Linked DNA regions of Bombyx mori. The protein of the gene in region 1 interacts with the protein of each later gene in a pairwise test. Links are inferred from orthologs where the notes say so. Each region holds a gene or a part of one and is shown in the gene's direction. Other genes may lie near its edges.

Evidence for each region. The genes of interacting proteins can lie anywhere in the genome.
Region 2: the proteins of protein patched (region 1) and E3 ubiquitin-protein ligase Nedd-4 interact in a two-hybrid assay, tested with the Drosophila melanogaster proteins (2 studies listed by BioGRID). The link is inferred for Bombyx mori from reciprocal best matches to the Drosophila melanogaster genes ptc and Nedd4.

What each region holds. Positions count from the first base shown.
Region 1 is NC_085111.1:13,390,099-13,393,598, reverse strand, and holds part of protein patched, read left to right. Parts: coding exon 1-12; intron 13-627; coding exon 628-1,509; intron 1,510-2,172; coding exon 2,173-2,355; intron 2,356-2,973; coding exon 2,974-3,216; intron 3,217-3,500. UniProt on the Drosophila melanogaster protein: Segmentation polarity protein. Acts as a receptor for the hedgehog protein (hh). Associates with the smoothened protein (SMO) to transduce the hedgehog signal leading to the activation of wingless, decapentaplegic and patched itself.
Region 2 is NC_085125.1:1,948,421-1,952,416, forward strand, and holds the start of E3 ubiquitin-protein ligase Nedd-4, read left to right. Parts: upstream 1-1,196; 5' UTR 1,197-1,745; coding exon 1,746-1,904; intron 1,905-2,205; exon of another isoform or gene 2,206-2,752; coding exon of another isoform or gene 2,753-2,776; intron 2,777-3,996. UniProt on the Drosophila melanogaster protein: Essential E3 ubiquitin-protein ligase which accepts ubiquitin from an E2 ubiquitin-conjugating enzyme in the form of a thioester and then directly transfers the ubiquitin to targeted substrates.

The sequences.
Region 1 (3,500 bases):
CCATCAATGAAGGTAATTTTCATACAACATCTACATACATACTATTAAGAAAGTCAAACGATTTCTGATCAATTTAATACACATTATACACCGACACACAACGGTAGTTTTTAGTTATCTTCTTCTTTCTTTTACCCCACTAGGTGGGGTCGGTACAGCGAATTTTTTTTTATATGTTTGAGAGATTAATGGTGGCCCGGAGGCCTTTCCAGTTTTACCAGGGCAGGCAGGTGAGCAAGGGCTCAGCCAGGAGGGGTGAAATTTGCTAACAGCTGCCCGAGCGTCTCCAAAGGAGCGATTTTTTCTCTTAAATTCTCTTTTATCAACCGTCATCTCAACACTCCTCTCTCTCATGTCGTCATTCACACACTCCATCCATGTCTTCTTCGGTCGACCTTTTCCCCCTCTACCTTGCACTACCATTTCCATACATCTCCTAGTCACACGCATCTCCTCTCTACGAGTACGCATCACATATCCATACCACGCTCACCGTCCGCTTTATAATTTGTCAATCACCGGGGCTACTTTCACACTTCCTCTGATATACTCATTCCTTATCTTTTAACTATATAAATTAAAAGTAACTTTTTTTTTATTTACAAAAAATTTCGTATTCGTTTACAGGTAACATCGATGCTAGCGTTGATCGCCGTGATACTGGCCAGTGTCTGGGGCGCGACAAAAGTCAGGGACGGCCTAGACCTCACCGACATAGTGCCAGAAAATACTGACGAACACCAATTCTTGTACCGACAAGAGAAGTACTTTGGCTTCTACAACATGTACGCGGTCACAAAGGGCGACTTCGAGTACCCGACCAATCAGAGGCTGCTGTACGAATACCACGACCAGTTTGTCAGGATACCTAACATCATAAAGAACGACAACGGCGGCCTCACGAAATTCTGGTTGACTCTGTTCCGCGACTGGCTCTTAGATCTGCAAGCGGTGTTCGATAAAGAAGTGGAAAGCGGCTGCATCACTCAGGAGTACTGGTGCAAAAACGCAAGCGACGAGGCCATTTTAGCATACAAACTCATGGTGCAGACGGGTCACGTGGACACTCCCATCGACAAGTCACTGATCACCGCGGACAGAGCGAGCGGCCATAGACTTGTGGGCAAAGACGGCATCATCAACACGGACGCGTTCTACAACTACTTGTCGGCTTGGGCCACAAACGACGCGTTGGCCTACGGAGCGTCACAAGGCAATCTGAAACCGCAACCGAAAAAATGGACGCACTCTTCTAGCGACATGGACCTGGAAATACCCAAGTCGTCTCCCTTGATTTATACCCAGCTGCCCTTTTACCTGGCAGGGTTAAGTGACACGGAGAGTATAAAGGCTTTGATAACGTCCGTCAGGGAGCTGTGCTTGAAGTTCGAAGCGAAGGGATTGTCCAATTTCCCGTCTGGTATTCCTTTCCTGTTTTGGGAGCAGTATCTGTATCTGAGAACGTCGTTATCGCTGGCCCTCGCTTGCGCCCTGTCTGCTGTGTTTGTGGTAAGTTCAGGAAAATTTTATGCTATTATCTAAAACGTATGCTCCTGATAAAATCATTATTAAACAAATGATTCGCGATTTATATCCGCAATGAAGTACGCGCTGGGTCAATGCTCTGATTTGACGCGAGAGCGGTCAGTCGGCGGAAGTACGAACTTGTTAATACAACAAATGCTTAGCTAACAAAAATAAGTATTTCATTTTTAATAATAATAAACAAATAAATAACTGGGAACAAATCACACACGGTCATCCGGCCCCAAATTAGGATTCCCTGTGTTGTTTAAATATATGCATATATAGATAATACACACCCAAACAATGGGTAAACAAAACTGTTTGCCCGATGTGGGAATCGAACCTAAGGCCCTCAGCGCAAATAGTCAGAGCCGCAAACTTCTGCACCACCGAGTCAGTTAGTGATGTGTTAAATCAGCGGTCCGGGAACTTTTTAAATTATTACCCCAAAATATTTATTTCGAAAAGAAAACAATAACTAAAAATTTAAAGATTCTAAAGAAGTTTCACTTCAATATATACTTTTTAATCACAAAAGTTTTATTTTTACCCCCCAAAATTTCATTTTACCCCATTTGGGCTTAAATAATTACTTTGTCGAAATTATCATAATGATCTAAATTAAAAGCCTACGATTATTTTCAGGCTGTAATGGTATTGCTGCTGAACGTGTGGGCGGCGGTGCTCGTGACGCTCGCGCTGGCTGTGCTGGTGCTCCAGTTGCTCGGCACGATGGCGCTACTTGGCATTAAGCTGTCCGCCATACCGGCAGTCCTACTTGTACTGGCCATCGGTCGAGGAGTGCATTTCACCGTCCATTTGTGCTTGGTGAGTTCATTGACCTTTATATTTGCGTATGACCATTTATGTTATTTTTAATTTTATTAGCTTCAGACGTATGTATGTATGTTTGTAACGGAATCTTTGAACATGATTTTGACCCTCTTCAAAACGTCGGATTAACTCGAAATTTGGTATACTTAAATTCCATATTTTAAAAAAACTGAAAAAGAGTGAAAAATTGATATTCACTTAAAAAATGAAAAATAAATAATAGTTTAAAAAAACGTGTAAAAAGTTTGTAAAAAAGCGTGGGCCACTTTTCAGGATATTATCAAAATAACCCTTCTACTCATATTTGTTCATAAATTATTTATAACTACTTGTATAATGCACCCCACGCTTTTTTACAATAAAATCTTTTTTTCATACACTATTTTTAATTTAAATTTAATAAAATTTATTTTCTATCTTTTAGTTGAATTTTCTATAAAAGCGTATTTTGTTAGTTTTTTTCAAACTATTATTTAGTGATAGTTAGTAATTAATATTAGAGTTCCGAGAAAATTGACCGATGATAAATAAGCTATTATTAAAATTTACAAAAAAATATAATTATATTGTATTTTTGTCGACGTTAAATGAATTGAACGTGTTCTTTGACAGGGCTTCGTAACGTCGATCGGTTGCAAGCGGCGTCGGGCCTCGCTCGCGCTGGAGTCTGTGCTGGCGCCGGTGGTGCACGGCGCCGTCGCGGCCGCGCTGGCCGCGTCGATGCTGGCGACCAGCGAGTTCGGTTTCGTCGCCAGACTGTTCCTGAAATTACTACTGGCTCTCATCGTTCTGGGATTCGTCGACGGTCTACTGTTCTTCCCGGTTGTACTGGCGATACTCGGACCGGCCGCGGAGGTGTGTAACTTGAAAAACATATACAGAGTGTGATTTTTTTTTTACTAAGTTAACAATATTTTTTTTAAATATACAGAATTCTTAATTTTGGTATTCGTATACGTTACTGCTTACATGCATAAATCTGTATTTCAATAAGTTCATCTTTACCTATATGACTATCATCAGTAATCAATAAAATATGGAAAAATAATAAGTATTTTGAAGGAGAAAGACGTTTAATTATTACTTTAAAATGACAAGTATTGTAACGGATATGATATTTTTCCCATAAGTTTCCCATT
Region 2 (3,996 bases), on another chromosome or scaffold:
TAGAGCTCATTGGAAGAGCGAGATAGCTGTCGTTCTGTCGCAGACTCTTCGGCAAAAGATTGAGACTATAAATTAATGTTTCAAGGCAGATACCTGCAGGATGCATTTACGTTGTGATATCCACGGAAACCCCCACTATCAGCAGATCGGCAAGTCCCACATACCCCGCGCGCCCTCGTAGGAGGTTCGCCCACCGGCCCGAAAAAAAAACCAGGGAAGCTGGTAACCGTTTAACATCGAAGCAGTTTAGGATACGAAGTCACCTCTACGAATTGACTCTTACGTAACGTAACTTTATTGAAACTTCTGAGAAAGACCTCTAAAAAAGATATTTTGTGAGCTCCTCCGAGATCATATATTGCAAAAGGCTGGTCAGCGCTTTATAGATTAGAGGCTCAAAATAAATGTTGTTTCGATTTCAAATCGCGAGATGAACGTTCACATTCGGCGTTGCGTTGTGGTGTCTTTGTCCTATTAGTGAGCAAACGAGGTCACAGCTCATCTGGTGATAACAAGATATAAATTTAGATGGTTACCGCCACCCACCCACATTTTACACACGAGTCGACCTCATTTGCAAAGCGCTATGCAACAAAAGCGGCACGAGGAGGTCCGAAGACCAAGGTCAGAAAGAAAGAAAGAAGAAGAAAGAAACGCAGAAACGAAAGAAGTGACGCTTATTCGGCGTACGCGGGCTGTTGTTGATATGTTAATGATGGTTAATTGAAAAATCTCTAAGCAGTGCTTTGCATTTCCCTGGATAGCAGCATCATTCTACCGGGCGGGCCGATACACCCATTTCTATTTCCTACGAATTAAAATAAAAACGCATTTAGTAAGTACCTACATTGTGCTGAAAACCTTATAGCTAGGTTGATAGCTTCAAGTCCCTTATTATTATTATTAAGTATGTAAGTAGTGCAATAAATGGTGGCATCAATAATGCCAACAACCAGGTGTATTTCAAAAGGACTGCCATACATTAGCACATCTGAACAAGCTTCATGGCATGTTGTCTTGAGAAAACAGCGGTACACGCCTAGTCTTAAATATTTGATGGCTTTATTGAGATACACCGACAATACAATGACCGACTATACTACATGTGCCTTAAAAGGGTTTTTTAACAGTTATGAGAAAGCAGTTAAAAACAACAACCATTGTTAAGAATGAATTAAAGGCTATCAAAATTTTTTTGTGAAACGTTTTTATTCGTAGACGTCAAAGATTTAATGATTTCAACATTTATGTCTTTATGATCCGAATTTCAACCTTAATCTAACCACATTGTGTGTACATAACTTTAGCTCAAATGAATTTAAAAAAAATGACCTAAATATGTAGCGCAAGGTATTCGGAACAATGTGAATTATTTGAACAAACAATGTGTCAGAGCGAACACGGACGCAGCTATGACGCAGAACGGAGACAAACTTCACGACTAAATTAATACCGTTATCGAACAAACTTCTGAACTAAACTATTATAATCGGACATTGGAGTACACTTCGCACGACTTGCGGCCGTATATTATTATGTTAATCATTTCCATACTAATTGTAAACGGAGAGTTCTTTTATCGTGCCCACTTCTTGAAGATAAGATAAAAATGTCATTTGTGTCTCTTCGTTGCAACTATAGAGCCGTTTTTTAGTTATCGTTTTTTCTCGTTATTTTAACATTTTTGTGATGTAAAAAGTGGAAATGAAAAGTGATGAGGTGTTTGTATGCAGTTTTTTTGAGAAATGTTAGATTCACGTACGGTTGCAGTGATGCATAACGCTAGGCCTCTCGATGTTGCTGAAACAGGTGAACGTCACAGAAATCGGTCATCATCGTGGACGTCAAGGCGATGGCAAAATGGTCTTTTCAGACAGGAACCAAGATATTCACTGCAATGTCAGGTAAAGGAATAAAAGGTTTTTTTTAAATTATATTCTAATAATATTTCTATGAGTTTTAGATGTATATAATGAATCTTGGATAGAAGGCTTATTTAATTTAGAAGTCAATACGAAATTAGACCCCCGAAAAACATTATTTTAAATATGAAATGATGAACCAGTTTCATAATGATAAAATCATGACCGATAGCAAAACACGTGATTAGATGATCGCGGCACGTATGTTTAATTTTAACGGGGATTTCCTACCAGAACAATATTAAGCTTATATTTGGAAAGTATTTAAAATTTTCCTTATTAGTTAAGATTACGATTCTATGCAGACAATATTTGATATAAAAAATATATTTTTCCAAAATTTGTTTTATACGAAACTGCGTGGAACGGAGTGTAATGCGACAACAATACTTGCGTTTCATGATTTGGTGTCATGAAAAGTAGACATTTCAAGCATTACAAAGGATAGGAAATACAAAAGATTCCATATGTGAAGGTGAAATGTTCGTTTAAAAAAATGTTTCTTTTTGTTAACGAGTTGTCATGTTTGTTTGACAGTCACATCTGTCAAAAGGTGTGATTTAATTACCGTAGCAATTTAGTTTTATTGTTTCGCGTTGGATGTATTTCTTAACAATTTAGATTATATTGTTGTTAAATTTTTTTTACAATACATAACCAATATCAGTACCAATGTGAACAAAGTGTTAGACAAGTTGTGAAATAAATGTGAATAGTAATTAGAAAACGTGTCAACATTTCAACAACTGTTGTTTGCGACTTTTACGTTGCTTAAGGAATGTGAAGTATTTCATATTCCTTTTTATAATCATTAAATCTTCACATGGGTGATGGCTTGGCAGTCGGATACGCGTGTAAGTTTATAAAAAAAATATAACATTCGGTATTTAAATTAAAAATATCGTGGTAACATAAAATGTCCTTGTAAGTCTAAAGTTAAATGCGTTTTATTTTGCGGAACGGTCTTAATTTATTCAGTTTTTGTAAATGTACGGACGAGGATTATTATCAATTTTCAGGGTACACTCTAAAATGTGTAGGCGTCGAGGTTAGGCGCTAATAGGATTTGTTGTCTGGGTCTTCAAATCCGACCGATATTAACAAAAAATAATTCAAAAAGAGACTCATATATTCGTCCTCACGAGATAGGTAATTATGAATATGTATGATTACATTCAATCACTTCATCTCAAATGGGAGAACACAAATTGTATACTCTGTATGCTTAGAAACAAATATGGTTTTGTGCTATTTTTTCGTCAGGTGTCCTCTCTACTACTAGATTTTGCTGGTTAATACATCATATTTTCCACATCAGTTGTTAAGCCAAACAGCTTTTCAACATAGTATTATCAAATTGATTTCTTGTGGAAACAAAATATTAGTTGACCCATCTCCTGTAATGTTAATCAGTAAGAGTTATTTAATAATTTAAATAAAACCCTGAGATTCAATTTAAATATGTTTTTTTTAATCCATCTACTAGTTCTAAATGTTAGTGCTAGAATTAACAATCATCATACAAGCAAATAGAAGAAAATCACAACTCTGTTATATATTAGGTCAGATACACCTAAAATACTAAAATTCATTTTTTTTTCTGTATGTACTGTACATTGAACAGTTATGCTTTTGTTATGTTATAAAATAATACACAGAGATGTTACAAGGTCATACAATATTATAACTACAATCAATAATGCATAATTAATAATTCAATTTCCATAAGTGATCACATCAAAGTTTAATTAATATTTGTTTAAAATATAAACAATACAATTTGTTGCTTAGCTAACTATACTGCACAAGAAACAAAAAAATGGGAAATATTTTTTAAAGATATTGTCAGACATGTGGTGGTTCCATGAACGGGTATATAATATGTTCTTAACCATAATATAATATGATCGTTGTTGATGTCTCCAGTCATCGTTCACGTCGAATCCGTTGCTTGCGACGAAGGGCTCGACGAGTAAATTAACCCTCGGGCACAACCCACTAAGTTTCTCACCGGATCTTCTCAGTGGGTCACATTTCCGATCCAGTGGTAGATTCTGTGAAGCTTCAATAAATT